Schizosaccharomyces pombe: one gene and its partners. The protein of the gene in region 3 binds, or shares a complex with, the protein of the main gene of each other region. Each region holds a gene or a part of one and is shown on either strand. Other genes may lie near its edges.

Region 1 (4,072 bases), on a different chromosome or scaffold from region 3:
TGAATCGTGGTGATTCTCGGATGGGCGGTCGAGGAAGCAATCCACCATTTAGCTCTAGTGATTGGTCTAATAACAAAGATGGTTATGCTAGACTTGGACAAGGTATAAGAGGTCTCAAATCTGGTACTCAGGGTTCTCACGGTCCCACAAGTTTGAGTTCAATGCTTAAAGGTGGAAGCGTTAGTAGAACGCCTTCTCGTCAAAACAGTGCCTTAAGAAGGGAACAGTCTGTTCGTGCACCACCATCTAACGTCGCGGTTACTTCTGCTAATTCTTTCGAATTACTTGAAGAGCATGACCATGATAATGATGGGGGTCAAAAAGATTCTAACTCAAAAACTAGTTCGTAAAGTAATCGGATTTGAATCTGTAATTTAAGTCTTTCATCTTTTGGTTTGTTTTGATTGTTTTGCTATGGATGAATCCATCATTTATCAGGGTTAACGGGAAATGGACTTTATAGTATAAGGTAATACATTCTCTACATTGTAATTGAGAAATGCTTTGGAAAATTTTAATTTCATTCATTGAGTTACGCATAGCCCAATTTACAGTATCTATATCACTAAAAGAGTAGTACTTTTGAATTTTTAGTATACAAAACCATGATATATTAAGGTATTTGAAGTTTGTAGAACAGGCTTGAGTAGTCCAACAAGATTTGGAAATTATAAATATCAAGGAGTCAGAAGACATTGAGTTTATTCCAACATCTGCATGTGATTGAAATGCACTTCTTTGAAAGTGATAATTGTAACTCAAGCTCAAAACGAAGCAAAAATGGCAATTATGAACGTCTTATTTCATTTGAATATCAAAATTAGTGTTTCACAAATCTGACTGAGCCGGCACGCATTCTGCATGTAACGCTAATATATCTTTAGAAGTAGGCTTCACTGTTGAGTTTGCGTTTCTTCGAACAGAAGGAAGCTCCAGGTACACAGGAGAAATGAGACTTTTACAAAAGTCACACGGCTTAGAATAAAGATGCTGATAATCAAGTATTTTAGGCTACACACGGTTAGCAGAGGTTTTGTCTAACAACCTCAAAAACACATACCATAAGAGACCATAAATTTCCAAGGAAGTTGTTGTTACGGTTAATTGAAAAAGTAATAGCATCGTCTTTGCTAGATGAACAATAAACACTAAATTTCCCCCTAGTATCATGAAAGAAAATAAACTCTAGCTCGTTTGCTAGTTTCAAAGTGAAAGACTTGTTTTCATGCGTTGTAAGAATAGACCCTGAAGCCTCAATATCACCTTTAAAAGACTCTATGTTTATATCCGAATTTTGGAAATTGTCATTATCATGCAATTCACTGTGATGCGGCTCCTTTAAGTCTAATGCAGACTTCCCATTAATGGATTTTGTTTCATTATTTTCGGTATCATTAGACAAATCTTCTGAATTGTATAAATAAGTAGGGAGCAAATTAGAGGAATCGGCTTGTAAAGACTTTTCAGCATAATCAAAAACGTCTGTTAATTAGCAAAAATTTAAGCTAAAAATAATTTGCATGCATACTTTGACTGGATTTAAGATGTGTATAAAAGGAATTTACTTTTTCAATCGCTTCTTGAGCACTTTTCTCAAATTTCCGACCTAATTAATTAGTACTCGAGCAAAATTTAAATTTAATATGAAAGATAATCATCATATCATTTTCCCTTAGTGTAAACTTTAACTCGTTTTTCTTAAAGAATTTAGTTATTTAAACAATTACTTACTTGTGCCGGTTTCAGGATGTAATAATTTTAAAAGGGATGGACAAATAGTTCTTAATTCAGCAAGCTAAAATTAATAAAATGTCTTCTGAAATTAGACAAACCTGTTCGTGAAGCTGATTTAAATCCAATAGCTTGTGCTTTAATTCATCTCTTGTACGCTGCTCTTCTAATGACATTTCTGGTAGCCTTAACAAACTTAAAATAATTATGAAAAAAAAATTAACAATGCGTATATTAAATAAATATTGATGGTAAATGGAGAGAATTCAAAAATCGGCACATCCAAATAGTAGATGGTAAGATGTCGGCTGTCATTAACGAACTTACATTCATCTAAAAACCTTTAAAAAATAATTCAACCCCAGTGCTATTGAGAAAGAAGATTGTTATTATATTCAAAATATAGGAAATTTGAAAATATGACCGAACAATTTGAGTCAACTTCTTTTCCATCTGACATTCCCGCCGTGAACGAAGAAAGCAAACTTTCAGCTGAGGAAACATTTAAGAGCCTTTCTGAAATTGTAAGTTAAGTTTTATTATCTAATTTTCGTCTCTATTTTTTTTTTAATTCACCATAATTTATACTAACCATCATCAATCAGTTGGCAGAAAATAGCACTTTGCCAGTGGGTATTTCTTCCATTCGAGTTACTGGTGCACATCATACTAGGCCAAGTTTCATTCGCAAAGTATTGAAAACATGTTTGGATACGTCGAAACCGGCCAAAAGTCGATCTTTGCTTGAAACATTAAATGCTATTCAAGAAACTACTGGGAATTTGATGGCATTCAACGTTTATGAAACTGCCAATATTAAAATAGATCGTGCTAGCTCTTCTGTTTCTGGAGATGATGATCTTGATGTTACCATTCAAGTAAAAGAGAAACCACGTTTATATGTAGAAACCGGCACTGATGTTGGTAACGTTGAAGGCAATGTACATGCTAATGTTCTTGCAAGAAATGTTTTTGGAGGAGCTGAACTTCTTTCTGGTAACGTTTCATATGGAACTCGTAATCGGTCTACCATGTCCGTGAACTTTGAGACCCCAGTAAACGCAGATCCTAAAACCCGTTTACGATTCAATGGCCACAGTAACTTGAGAGACAATAAATCTATTTCGAGCCATGACTTACTTACTAAAGGAATTACGCTTTCATTGCAGCATCAAGATCTGTGGTCTGGCGAGCATTTACTTTCACAAAACTTATTGTGGAGGCAAGTTACTCATCTCACTGAATATGCTTCTCCAAGCGTACGACTTGAGGCCGGTGATTCATTAAAACAATCTCTTTCCTATACGTATACACGCGATACACGCGATCATCTTATGATACCCACGAAGGGAGATTATGTGAGGCAGACTTTAGAGCTCGCTGGGTTCGGATTTCTTCCAGGAGATGCGAGCTTTCTAAAATCAGAATTCTGGGGTCAAAAAGCTGTGGCTTTAAATTCTTCTAGGTCTGTTTCTCTTTCTTTGTCCGCCCGGATTGGAGCATTGCATAGTCTAAATAAGAAGCAAGTCAGTCTGTGTGATCGTTTCATGTTAGGCGGTTCAACTAGCCTTCGTGGTTTTTCAGAAGACCGTATAGGTCCAAAAGATGGCAGGGATTCTTTAGGCGGGACCGCATATATGGCTTTCTCCATGAGCTTGCTATTCCCTTTGCCAAAAGTTGATGCTTCTAAACCATTTCGCTTACAGTTGTTTGCGAATGCTGGAGGGCTATCGAATTTGACTTCTCCAAATCCATGTGGCACATACAAATCAATACTTTCTAAGCCTTGTATCTCTACAGGCTTAGGTTTAGTCTATGCAACTCCCGCTGCGCGTTTCGAGCTGAACTTTACCTTACCAATCGCTACTACCGAAAAGGATATCGGTCGTAAAGGCCTGCAATTCGGCGCGGGTATCGATTTCATGTAATGATTTTCCTTTTTAACTTTTTACTTTAATAAGGTCTCTACTATTCCCATCTCTGACTTGTCTGTCTTTTTCTCTCATTTATGCTAATGATAAGAATGTTACGGTTGACAATTGCTTTTACTGCGTTTGAATTAAATTTTCATGCATATTTATAATTGTCATACAAATATTTTGCTTTTGGTCAAGATTTATGAATTTCACAGAATTTCAATAACCATATATGAATAAATTTAAACGAAGATAGTTACATAACATCAGAGTATCTTTTGTATTTTTATTATTAAAAGAAGATTAATAATTGCAATTAGTCGAAAAATAAACTACGACTTTAAAATGAGATAGAAGAGCCTTTAATCCTTCTTTGAAGGTCTTGCTAGCTAGAAAAAGCGCATTAGTTTATGTTTGGGTTTCAG
Region 2 (4,649 bases), on a different chromosome or scaffold from region 3:
CTACCCTGGTGTTTCTGATGTTGAAATTTACAAAAAGATGAAGGAAGAGAATATTCATCATAAAAGTAAAGCTATTGTTGTACTAGTTCAATGTATTATTACTTCGCCTTACGTTGGGGAGTTTGAAAAGCATGGTGCATTGTTTAAAAAGCTTTGCACGACAGATAAACATGAACGTGCTCTTCTTGGTGGGTTTGAACGTTTGATGGAAAACACTGAATTAGTGCACATCGACGTTGTTCCCAAGGTACTCTTGGAGATTTATCAGAATGACTTGGTCTCTGATGACATGTTTGAGAAATGGGGAGCAAAGGCTAGCAAGAAATATGTGAGCCGTGAAACTAGTAAGAAGATTCATGAAGCTGCTGAACCTTTTTTGACATGGTTGGCTGAAGCAAGTGACGAATCTGAGAGTGAAGATGAGGAGGAAGAAGAAGAAGACGACGACGAATAAGAACGGCCTCTTTTTACTCTCTACCACAATTTGTGCTTTGAGAATTGAATAACTTACAATCCTGTTCTCTAAAATATTAAGCTGATTCTTTCAAGTTTTAGCAAATTAGTTTCTCGTAAGTTGAATATATCTATTAAAGTGTTCTGATTTTTGTAAAATAGGCTAGCCTTTTAAAGTGTTCAATTTATACTATTCAAAACATCCAACTAATTCCATAATTTCATTTTACTAAAGATTTTTAAAACTGATTAGTAATGTCTTTTTCTAGCATGAAATTCTAATTAACGACTTTCTTTATAAACACTTCTATCGCAAGTCCGATGTTACATGTTTGTTGTATAAGTTTTTGAAAAACATGAGACTGTTGTTTTGACAATTCTTTGCCACCACTAGACATATAATCAACATTCAGTCTTCCATCTGACAATACGGATAGAACAATGATAATTTGTTCGGAATTATTCAGTTTGTTGATTTCTTGATATTGGGCATGAACGATCGGATGCTCCTTAAAATATAGAGAGAGGTGAAGGGAGGAAGATGCCGCAGTCTCTGCTAAATCTGCTGATTTGATATTTTCCAAAATCAATTGTAATAATAAATATTGGCGTACAATAGCAAGTATTCCTCGAATTTGCTTGGGATGATGAAACGGTACGTGACGCAAAGAACGTGCGGAAACATCGAACCCTGTTAGCTGGATGGCTTGATTTTTATTAATGAATTTGTAGTTCACGGTTGATTTTGAAGGTAAACCAAGCTGGTGAAATTAGTTAAGTTGATATTTAGGGAAAGTACTTACCATATGACTATAATTTTGGACAGGCCAAGGAATGGTAATGTCATGGACATGAAGCAAATCAAGTAAAGGTTTGACGCCCTGCTCTGGTATTATTAAATTGATATCATCAAAAACTAGTTCCATTGTTGTAGGAATAGGTGTCAAAGTATTTTCAAGTGCCCAATTAATTTTTGATGATTGGAGGATAGGAGGAGAATTTAATAAATTATATCCGAATAACAAGTGAGGTAGCGACTCATGAGACAAATTATCCATAAAAATTTGAGTGCTATAGGTTTTATCCAAAAGCTTCCAGTATACAATACGCAAACCAAGTTGTCCTTCGTAATTACTGAGAGGCTTTCCGTTTCCATGCATTATAACATTTTCTTCTTGTGCTAGCAAAGATAATTCTGCTTCATAAATAGCATTTAAAGAAGAGGATAGTGAGTCTAAATATTGGAAACAACTTTGTTGGACCGAAGGAGAGGAGTGATCAAAGGTAGCCAACCATTTGACATTCTTTTCAAATAGTGGGGTATTGCAATTGTAAATTGCATCCTTAAGTAATTTTTCTGCAACAGGATTATTATATTGCTCACCACTAGCGTTTGCAAAAGCCAAAACAACGTTGATATCTTTTGGAGACGCATTTATGGGAACAGTGATCTAGATACTAATTAGTAAAACGGTTATGTACAGGATTTAAACTTACGTCGATCAAAATTATTTTTCCAGCTAAACTGAGGACCACTTCATTGGGTTTGGAGGAGTCTTGAAAAACCTCCAGACCATACTTTTTAGCCAAATATTCAAATCCAGTTACAGAGATATCATTCCAAGGAACTGATGATAGACAATCAATCCAATAACGCGTCCAGTTAATCTGATTGGGGTTAGAGGCGTTTCGACGGAAATGAACTTCAGAAAAGAGATGTGGTCTATCCATCGAAAAGATTATTAAAGAAGATTTAGTAAATTAGTCGTGTATTTCGTATTTAATCAGCTTAAAACACTGTATATAAGCGCAATTTTATGTCTGTTCAGCGAGCAATTTAATTTGTTCTGCAAAAAGGAAGCCTTTACTGCCATCAAACTATTTGCTAGAAACGCATTAATTGCAAAAACAAGTAGGTAATTTTGAACCGCCTAAAACTTAGTTTCAATGGGAAGGTCTGTGTGATTGATTTATCTTTATAACGAGGGTTAAAACAGTAGTTATGGGGAATTTTATATGTATACAAATGAAAACCAATTTTAAACCTTGGACTAAAAAAAACCCAAAGTATGTTCACTCAAACTCTTTTTAAAGCATCAAAATATATATGCAGTAAATCTTAATAAAATATTTTCTTTTTGGTAAAATTTGTGCACAAATCAATAAGCGTTCTATGTTTCATTTACAGCTTGCGTGCCCTTTCAGAAGTGGTTGGTATTGATATGCAGGGTGTAGCGCGGCTTTAATTAGCCACGAACGTACTGCTACTAGTTTGCATTTTAAAGAAGATAAGAGACTGTAACTGAAGGAGGGAGCTTATAGAAACAATATTTTGTTTCAAAAAAGCCAGTAAAAGCGTAATATAGTGAGAATTTTGGCTTTTTGAAGCAAAGTTTGCAAATGGGCTATTTGCAGTCCCAAAAAGCGGTTTCTCTGGGCGACGAAAATACGGATGCATTATTTAAACTTCATACATCAAACCGGAAAAGCGCAAACATGTTCGGAATAAAATCTGAACTATTAAACCCATCTGAACTTTCTGCCGTTGGTAGTTATTCCAACGATATTTGTCCAAACCGCCAGAGTTCTAGCAGTACAGCAGCAGATACGAGTCCTTCGACGAATGCCTCAAATACGAACATTTCTTTTCCGGAACAAGAGCATAAAGATGAGTTATTTATGAATGTTGAACCAAAGGGAGTTGGTTCATCTATGGATAATCATGCTATTACTATACACCACTCGACTGGCAATGGTTTACTCCGAAGTAGTTTTGATCACGATTATAGACAGAAAAACAGTCCGAGGAATTCCATACACCGTTTGTCAAACATAAGTATTGGTAATAACCCAATCGATTTCGAGTCATCTCAGCAGAACAATCCTTCGTCGTTGAATACTTCTTCACATCATAGGACATCTTCAATATCGAACTCTAAGAGTTTTGGAACTTCCTTATCATATTATAATCGTTCATCAAAGCCTAGTGATTGGAATCAGCAAAATAATGGGGGGCATTTGAGTGGGGTTATATCTATTACACAAGATGTATCATCCGTTCCTTTACAATCTAGCGTTTTTTCCTCGGGGAACCATGCATACCATGCTTCAATGGCTCCAAAGAGATCCGGTAGTTGGCGTCATACTAACTTCCATTCTACTTCACATCCCAGAGCAGCTTCTATTGGAAATAAGTCTGGAATTCCTCCTGTTCCAACTATTCCTCCTAATATAGGTCATTCCACTGATCACCAACATCCTAAAGCAAATATATCTGGATCCCTTACGAAATCAAGTTCAGAATCGAAGAATCTTTCTACAATCCAATCCCCTTTGAAGACATCCAATTCTTTTTTCAAAGAACTTTCCCCCCATAGTCAAATAACCCTTTCTAATGTTAAAAATAATCACTCACATGTAGGATCACAAACCAAATCACACTCTTTTGCTACCCCCTCTGTCTTCGATAACAACAAACCTGTTTCATCCGATAATCACAATAATACTACTACATCATCTCAAGTTCATCCCGACAGTAGAAATCCTGATCCGAAAGCTGCTCCTAAAGCGGTTTCTCAGAAGACAAACGTTGATGGGCATCGTAACCATGAAGCTAAACATGGGAATACTGTCCAAAATGAGTCTAAATCACAGAAATCTTCCAACAAAGAAGGTAGATCTTCAAGAGGTGGCTTTTTTAGCAGATTGAGTTTTTCGAGAAGTTCTTCTCGTATGAAGAAAGGAAGTAAAGCTAAACACGAGGATGCCCCTGACGTACCGGCAATACCACATGCTTACATAGCTGATTCTTCTACCAAATCTAGCTACCGGAATGGAAAGAAAACTCCTACGAGAACGAAAAGCCGGATGCAGCAATTTATTAACTGGTTCAAACCATCCAAAGAAAGAAGCTCTAACGGTAATAGTGATTCTGCATCACCTCCCCCTGTTCCAAGACTTTCGATTACGCGTTCTCAGGTTTCCCGTGAACCTGAGAAGCCCGAGGAAATTCCTTCAGTTCCTCCACTACCTTCAAACTTTAAAGATAAAGGACATGTACCTCAGCAACGAAGTGTTTCGTATACTCCTAAAAGGAGTTCTGATACGAGTGAATCATTACAGCCTTCCTTATCTTTTGCGTCTTCAAATGTGTTGTCAGAACCGTTTGATCGTAAGGTTGCTGATTTAGCTATGAA
Region 3 (3,879 bases):
ATAGGTAATTAAAAACTTTTTGTTTATTATTTCTCACTTTTGTTTTTCTAGTAACTTGACAACTTGCTTCTCCCATATCGATGGAGCATGGTTGTGTACAATTGTAAAACGCGTTTCAAAGCTTTATGTAAAGCTCTCCCTTCAGCTAGATACATCTACACCTACTTTAGAAGATTCTTTTGATGGTAATGGGTTCATACAGAGGAAATACGTGAGCGATGCATCTAGGAACGTCTTACGAACGTTCAATAGTATACTGAGTGATCGTCAACAAAACATTAACCCTTCGAAGAAGGATGCGATATTCTGTATTGCCAATTTACTTTGTTTACTATATTTTCGCTTAAAGCAAATTCGTCTTTGCCAAACTATTCAAGCTAATGTCATCTCTTCGGGTGCCGATATTTCTCGCGCTACAATGGCGGAATTAGTAACGTTTCGTTATTATTTAGGAAGGTGTCATCTTTATCAACGCAAAATTCATCAGGCAAAGGACCATCTACTTTTTTCGTTTCTTCAGTGCCCTGATGAGTGTTATCATCAAAAAAGGTATGTTTTATTTTACTCAAAAATAGGATTCGTTTATATTTACTAATCAAAAAAGGCTTTCTCTAATCTATCTTACAACGTGTTTACTTATATTAGGAAAATCGCCAACAAAAGGGCTATTAGAAAAATACAAATTGACTGCAGCATTCGAACCTTTAATAAAAGCTTTGAAAAGTGGTGATATCAAGTCGTTCAGATTATCTTTGGAGGACAATTCCAGGAGGAAATGGTTTATCAAACGAGGAATATATCTAACTTTATTGGATAGATGTGAAATCATCCTGTGGAGGAATTTATTTAGAAAGGTGTACGTTTGAGATTTTTTAAAATATTCGACTAATTTAAAAAGGTTTCTTTTTACTTTTGAGCAAAGCCAAAAAACCCCGCACGTATCTGGTTCTTACTTGTTAACCGCGGCCCGTTTAAGTACAAATGATAACTCATATGACATGGACGATGTCGAATGTATCTGTGTTTCTCTAATTGACCAAGGATATATTAAAGGTTATATCATTCATGCATCATCAACTTTAGTCCTTAAAAAAGACCCATCGTTCGGTTTTTCTGTAATAGAGAGCCTTATGCCCATAGCAAGGAATGATCACGCAGAAAAGGAATTTTTTCATGCTAACGCATAATTAAATGAACTCAGAAAACGTAGATTGTTCGAAAATTATACTTAAAATTAATTAAATTTGAATTGACAAATGTTAAGCAAGGAACAGTGTTCAATCATCTTGCTTTGCGAAGTCTGAAAGCTAAATAAATACAGTCTAAACGGCAAAGCGTAATTTTATTCATTTTTAAAACAAAAGGGTATTTGGTCAAAGCAAAAAACTCTATAATTAGAAAAGTAAAATACCAGATATCACTTGACAAATAACACAATTTAGAATCAAAAATCTTCTTCCATTTCTGGATCAAAAAGATCAAATCCTGCAAAGACATCCTTATTAGCTGGCGATTCTACTTCTTTATTTTCCTCTTGCGTAGTGAATGTTGGAGAGGCAGGATAATTCATTTTAGTTTTTTCTTCAACGGCTTTGTTCGCATCAATTTCTGTTTCTGTTTCCGTTGGCTCGTTCGTCTTTGGAGGCTGTTCAGAAAATAATTGGGACGCTGTAGCCGATAAATTTGGAACCATGCTAGTTGAAAACTGAAACAACAGAGTTTTTCGCATCTGGTCCTCCGATGGCCAAGGATAATGCACAGGAGCTTTTGCATCTTGACCCGTCTCGGGATTGTACCCAGGAGGTGCAGAGGAAAACTTGGAAAGTTTTCTACCATAATCAAGGAGTGTTTCAGCATTAACTTTTTGTCGTTTTCTCCCCGACACTGTTTTTGGAAGATGGGTATCATAAATTGAGGTCATTTCTCTCATGCAGTCTTGAATTTGTAAATCCAGTTCCTTATCCTGCTTCAGCAAAGAACTAATTTCATTTTGTAATTCTCTACCATTTGTGTAATTTGATATTAAAGAGTGTAAGGTTTTCAAGTGGCCTACTAATGAGGTCCAGTTTTCTATTAGTACATATTGGTCAACCTTTTCGGATGACAGTCTTAACTGTTTATTGAGACATTCTTCAATAGAATCAATGGCTCTTTGATATTCCATTGGGGAGCATATGTGATTACTATATACTAACTACTCAACAATTGCTCGATCATCTAGTAGGTCAGGTTACAGTTATTTTGCAGACTCGACTTTTTACTCCTTAAACATCCGTAACCGTTAGTTAAACAGACATCCTTAAAAGGTTTAATGTGCTAAAACACGGTAAATTACAGTAATGTCCTCCTCCACAAGGGCAATAAGTAGCAGCTGGTATATACGCTCGACGAACAATACTTAAGTTACTCTCGATTAAATAGAATTAGTCAATTTAATTCTGTATATGATTTTAATTGTTTAAATTGTCTAACAAATTTCACTAATTTGGGCAAGAAGAAAGCTATTATTCGTATAAATTAGTCGACAAACTACGTTACATTTACAGTGTAACAATTTTGATCTTGTTAGGGACAACATAATGAATACATACTAGTGAATTAGATATCTCATTAAATTAAAAAAGCGAGTTCGTTAAAGAATGCTTAATGAGCTTATTTCGTTTAATGCGTATAAAGCCTATATCAGATCAGAAAATGTGTAATATTACTTTACCAAGAAATCGCTCAATTTAAATGTAATTTTTATAAAAGTATTTTAAACATATGTCACCTGTGGCTGAGTGAAAACCTATTCTGTCGATTTGCTTTTCCGAGACTAACTCAAAGTGGTCCGTCTATGTGGCTCAATACTGACTTATAAGAGTAGAGCAGAAAATACATTTCATATAAGTAAACTGAAGATACTTGATAATTGAAAATTCAATTGGACAACTTTAAAAAGATTTCTCGGTCAACTTTCTCCAAAGTACAGCTACTGTTAATATAGAGTTCGAAAAAATATGCAATATTGAACGTAAACTATTAAGCTAAATATTAATTTAGTAGGAACTTGCTACCAAAATATTAATATCACATAACTAAAAGATTTCGAAAACAACAATATATATTAAAAACTAATGTCTAAAGATAATGCCAAACAAACAAAGACTGAATGGATAGTAGATAGCAGCACGTTAAATGATAGTAGATGATAAATGCAAGGACAGGACATGACAACGATGTGTGAGATATAAATTAGTGTTATACAGCTAGAATAGATAAAATTTTTTTTTAACTTTGATATGGCTTTGCTTAACCGCAGTAAGAGCTATATTGTCTATCAGTGAAAGGTTGAGGGAATACGCCGTATTCAATAAGTAATCCCATATCCCAAGTAGGACTTGGTCCACCAGTTTTAGCAGTCCAGTAAATCCAACCAGCACCGCGTTCAAATTGATCTAACTGAGTTTCGATAAACAGACGAACAGCTCCCTTATATTCATCCGTCCAAGTGGAAATATCACCGCTGTTTGGTCCAATAAATGTCGAAGAGTCAACTCCTTCTTCGAAAATCGTGCAGTCTGCTAAAGTTCCGGACCATTCGCCAGTAACAGTAATGTAGGGAGAGGAAGCAATGGAATCACCAATGGAGCAAACATCTGAAAGATGATCATCGAGAGTCTTTGAGCACTCATCCGACTCGTAAAGTTGATAACGATGGACATCCATAACAAGATTGTATGAAGAAGGAGATACAACACCATAATCCCAAATAGAAAGATCAACATAGGCATCGTGAATGATAGTAGCAACAGAGCTGGAAAGAGGATTGACGATATTATAGGCATCTAAATCGTATTGCTTAAGTTGATCCATATCCAGACCATAGCCCAAAGGCTC
Region 4 (3,396 bases), on a different chromosome or scaffold from region 3:
TCAAGAAGGGCGAGAAGACTGTCGTCATTATTCGTTTTGAGGGACCAAAAGGTGGACCTGGTATGCCGGAAATGTTAAAGCCTTCAAGTGCTATTATGGGAGCTGGTCTTGGAAAGGATGTTGCACTTTTGACTGACGGTCGTTTCAGTGGTGGCTCTCACGGATTTTTGATTGGACACGTTGATCCCGAAGCACAAGTTGGAGGCCCTATTGCTCTTGTTCAGGACGGCGATGTCATTGAAATCAATGCTGTAAAGAACACTTTAGATTTGATGGTTGATGAGAAGGAGATGGCGAGACGCCGCAGTGTTTGGAAGGCACCTCCTTTGAAGTACCAACAAGGAACCCTTTTAAAATATGCTCGCAACGTTAGCACTGCCTCCAAGGGTGCTGTTACAGATTCCTTAGAGTAAAGCATATTCAATGCTTTTATAAGCGCGCATAGTATTTTGGAAACTTAGACGTTTAATGTTTTGGTAGTAAAGGTTGATTAATAAGCTTTTAATGCTGATTCCATAATCTCATCTAGAGTTTATTTGAATAATTTTGAATGAATAATTACTTTTTGGAGTACAGTGAAATGCATCGAGTTTAAAATGGGTTGTTATTCAAACTCCTGCATTTCTATTTTATTATTAAACATAATTGGTATCTGTAAATGTGAAAGGGAGCCATAACTTTCTGCTGACAATAAAGCAAGACTTTGACAGTTAGTTAGATAGAAATTTATTTACAGAAAAAATTTAAATTGATACTTTTTTATTCTATGTGCGTTGTGAAACGGTATCAATGCGTTGTTTAAACAACTGTAGTAGAAGTTTTGAATCCAAAGAATGACGAGGCTGGTTAAAGAAGCTTTCATAGACAGGGGTTACCGATTTATTATTTTGTAAAAAGCATTTAAGAAAGAATTCTTGAATAATAGGGCGTGCGAGATCGACGGACTCAGTACCATCGTAAGTTACATGAAAAAGTATACCCTTCCAAACGGACTTTTGTAAAACGTTGGCAATAGCCACTTTAAAGCTCCCTACTTCATATATTGAACCTTCAATAGTAAAGGACTGCCGAAAATTCCATAATTTCGTTCGCACAATGATGTCCTCAAGTTCAGGTTCTGCATCAATCATTGTCGCTTCATCCACACACGCCAGCATGCTGGGATTAATGTTTTGCTTCAAAAATTCTAAAGTTTTTGGAGTGACAGCATTTCTGTAAAGTTTATACTGAACTACCCATTTTTCTGAAATTCAAAGTTAGATCTTGAAATCATCAATCATAAGAAATAAAATCCAAACCAGTGTCAGCTTACTTAAATGTTGTGCAAAGTAGGTCCTAACCAGATTATCCTGTGCTGGAGAAAGGAACGTCGCCATTGAAGGCGATGAATAATAAATAACTCTATAATCAATCAGCAAAATAGTCAATCGGTATGCTTTTTACCCGTGAACAGGCATATTTTATAACAAAGATGAATGGTAATTAATTATGCATCTGAATATCGGTTTATACCGAATTATTGAGAAAAATGGCCGAATTAGTTCTTTTACTTCTACTGTAATGTTGATGTGAAGAGTTTAATGCGTACGGCGGTTGCAAGAATTGCTAACAGGCTAATTTAAAACCTTCATTTTCATTGTTCCTGTATTAAAAAAAAAAAGCAGATAGACATAATATGAGCTCAAATTTTATTAATTTATCTCTTGTCATTTTTATTATTTTCCAAGTCGCAAAGTATATGGCTTTTGGGTATGATAATCCCAGAGCAAATTGTTAAAAGCTTGAAGAGAATTAAGTTAACTGAATTACATTCATAATTAACTTCTGGAGAGTCAAATACTACGTAACAATGTAACTGGCTGGTTTGAGCACTAATTAAAAATCTGTTAATCCCAGGATGTTACATATGTGTCTCTTCGTTTTACTTTGAACTTTACACAAGAAACTACATAGTTCTGTCAGCAAAATAAGTCTTAAAAGTTATTGTTCGAATAGAAGTATAAACTCATACATCAATATACATACTGAAAATAGATAGAAGCAAAAAAAAAATTACTTTTAATCTTTATTCAACTAATTACTAGGCTGTATCTAACATATTTTCTTCTGAATCACCATAGGCAGAAATGTAAAATATGTAACCAATTTCTGTCTACAAGTTATTCAGAACTTTACATCTAAGACCAAAGGTAGAGATGATTATTTACAAATAAAAAAAAATAAACATCCACAAAAGAGGTCTATGGAGTACTGAAGAAGTTAGTAATGCTGTTACCAGACTTATATAGCTCCGCTCAAAAATTATAAGTTAAAGTTATAAGATTAAAAAAATATAAATATATTTTTTTGAATTTTCTTAACTTATTGGTTAAATTAATATACTCTATGAATTATAATAACTTCAGTTACAGACTTGCGTTCGACCGTTGTATGATGCCTCTTTAGAGCTACACACAGCTGAAACTTAACCTGTTCCATCGTTTTCTTTACCTTACCAGTTATAGAGTTATAAAATGACGTTTCGGACTTTGGATGTCGACTCCATCACAGAACCTGTTTTAACAGAGCAAGATATATTTCCAATTCGTAACGAAACGGCGGAGCAAGTCCAAGCAGCCGTCTCTCAACTCATTCCTCAAGCCCGGTCTGCCATTCAAACGTATGTTTATTTAAAAGAAGCAATTTTTTTATTAATTAAAATAGAGGAAATGCCTTACAAGGTTTGAAAACCTTACTCTCATATGTTCCTTATGGAAATGATGTTCAAGAAGTTAGGGTATGTGCAAACTGTACAAACTGCTTAAAGACGGTTTATATCAATTACGTTTTTATTTATTGATTAAATTTACAATTCTTCTTGATTTCATTTTATTATGGTGTAAATGAATTTTAACTTTTTTAGACTCAATATTTGAATGCTTTTGTTGATGTATTAAGCAATATACGAGCTGCTGACATTCCCGCATTTGTAAAAGAATGTTCAACGGAGGAAATTGATAATATTGTAAACTTCATTTATCGTGGATTGGCGAATCCTCAAGCCTACAACTCGTCTGTATTACTTAATTGGCACGAAAAGGTAACTTTTAGTTTATTGCTTTTCCCAACGCTCTAGCATTGCTTATCTCATGCTTTACATTTTTATTCGGTCACTAATACGGTTTTGTAGGTGGTGGAAATATCCGGTATAGGATGTATAGTTCGTGTTCTCAATAGTAGACCCGATCTATAAATATGGCTTTATCTTACTTTTTGGTATCTACTATTCTGTCGCTTATGGAACTGAATCAATGATTCTGTTTTATGTCTTCTTTCCCACATAATGACTCTTTTTATCCTTTAAATTGAGCTAGAATTTTCTAAATGGTTAGTAAGTATGTTCCATTTTAAAAAATA

What was found.
Region 1: pmc4 (region 3) and pmc3 share a complex: the UniProt entries of both Schizosaccharomyces pombe proteins name them as parts of the mediator complex.
Region 2: pmc4 (region 3) and med1 share a complex: the UniProt entries of both Schizosaccharomyces pombe proteins name them as parts of the mediator complex.
Region 4: pmc4 (region 3) and med20 share a complex: the UniProt entries of both Schizosaccharomyces pombe proteins name them as parts of the mediator complex.

The regions. Positions count from the first base shown.
Region 1 is NC_003424.3:4,488,371-4,492,442, reverse strand, and holds pmc3 (mediator complex subunit Med27), read right to left. Parts: upstream 2,038-4,072; 5' UTR 1,908-2,037; coding exon 1,833-1,907; intron 1,796-1,832; coding exon 1,732-1,795; intron 1,607-1,731; coding exon 1,529-1,606; intron 1,483-1,528; coding exon 1,061-1,482; intron 1,012-1,060; coding exon 829-1,011; 3' UTR 501-828; downstream 1-500. Other genes in the region: tif471 (translation initiation factor eIF4G), read left to right, coding at 1-350; sorting and assembly machinery complex subunit Sam50, read left to right, coding at 2,151-2,255, 2,337-3,659. UniProt on the Schizosaccharomyces pombe protein: Component of the Mediator complex, a coactivator involved in the regulated transcription of nearly all RNA polymerase II-dependent genes.
Region 2 is NC_003424.3:535,930-540,578, reverse strand, and holds med1 (mediator complex subunit Med1), read right to left. Parts: upstream 2,670-4,649; 5' UTR 2,185-2,669; coding exon 1,951-2,184; exon of another isoform or gene 1,905-1,950; coding exon 1,257-1,904; intron 1,215-1,256; coding exon 732-1,214; 3' UTR 567-731; downstream 1-566. Other genes in the region: translation initiation factor Tif5, read left to right, coding at 1-454; DYRK family cell polarity protein kinase Pom1, read left to right, coding at 2,854-4,649. UniProt on the Schizosaccharomyces pombe protein: Component of the Mediator complex, a coactivator involved in the regulated transcription of nearly all RNA polymerase II-dependent genes.
Region 3 is NC_003423.3:3,515,774-3,519,652, reverse strand, and holds pmc4 (mediator complex subunit Med4), read right to left. Parts: upstream 2,193-3,879; 5' UTR 2,165-2,192; coding exon 1,445-2,164; 3' UTR 1,188-1,444; coding exon of another isoform or gene 899-1,187; 3' UTR 857-898; coding exon of another isoform or gene 605-856; 3' UTR 564-604; downstream 1-563. Other genes in the region: TREX/TREX2 complex subunit Pci2, read left to right, coding at 1-4, 52-549, 605-856, 899-1,187; cell wall glucan 1,6-beta-glucosidase Exg1, read right to left, coding at 3,292-3,879. UniProt on the Schizosaccharomyces pombe protein: Component of the Mediator complex, a coactivator involved in the regulated transcription of nearly all RNA polymerase II-dependent genes.
Region 4 is NC_003424.3:2,348,388-2,351,783, reverse strand, and holds med20 (mediator complex subunit Med20), read right to left. Parts: upstream 1,592-3,396; 5' UTR 1,458-1,591; coding exon 1,444-1,457; intron 1,402-1,443; coding exon 1,313-1,401; intron 1,244-1,312; coding exon 765-1,243; 3' UTR 540-764; downstream 1-539. Other genes in the region: ilv3 (dihydroxy-acid dehydratase), read left to right, coding at 1-413; ARP2/3 actin-organizing complex subunit Arc5, read left to right, coding at 2,514-2,659, 2,704-2,776, 2,903-3,079, 3,170-3,232; CENP-W family protein Wip1, read right to left, coding at 3,333-3,359. UniProt on the Schizosaccharomyces pombe protein: Component of the Mediator complex, a coactivator involved in the regulated transcription of nearly all RNA polymerase II-dependent genes.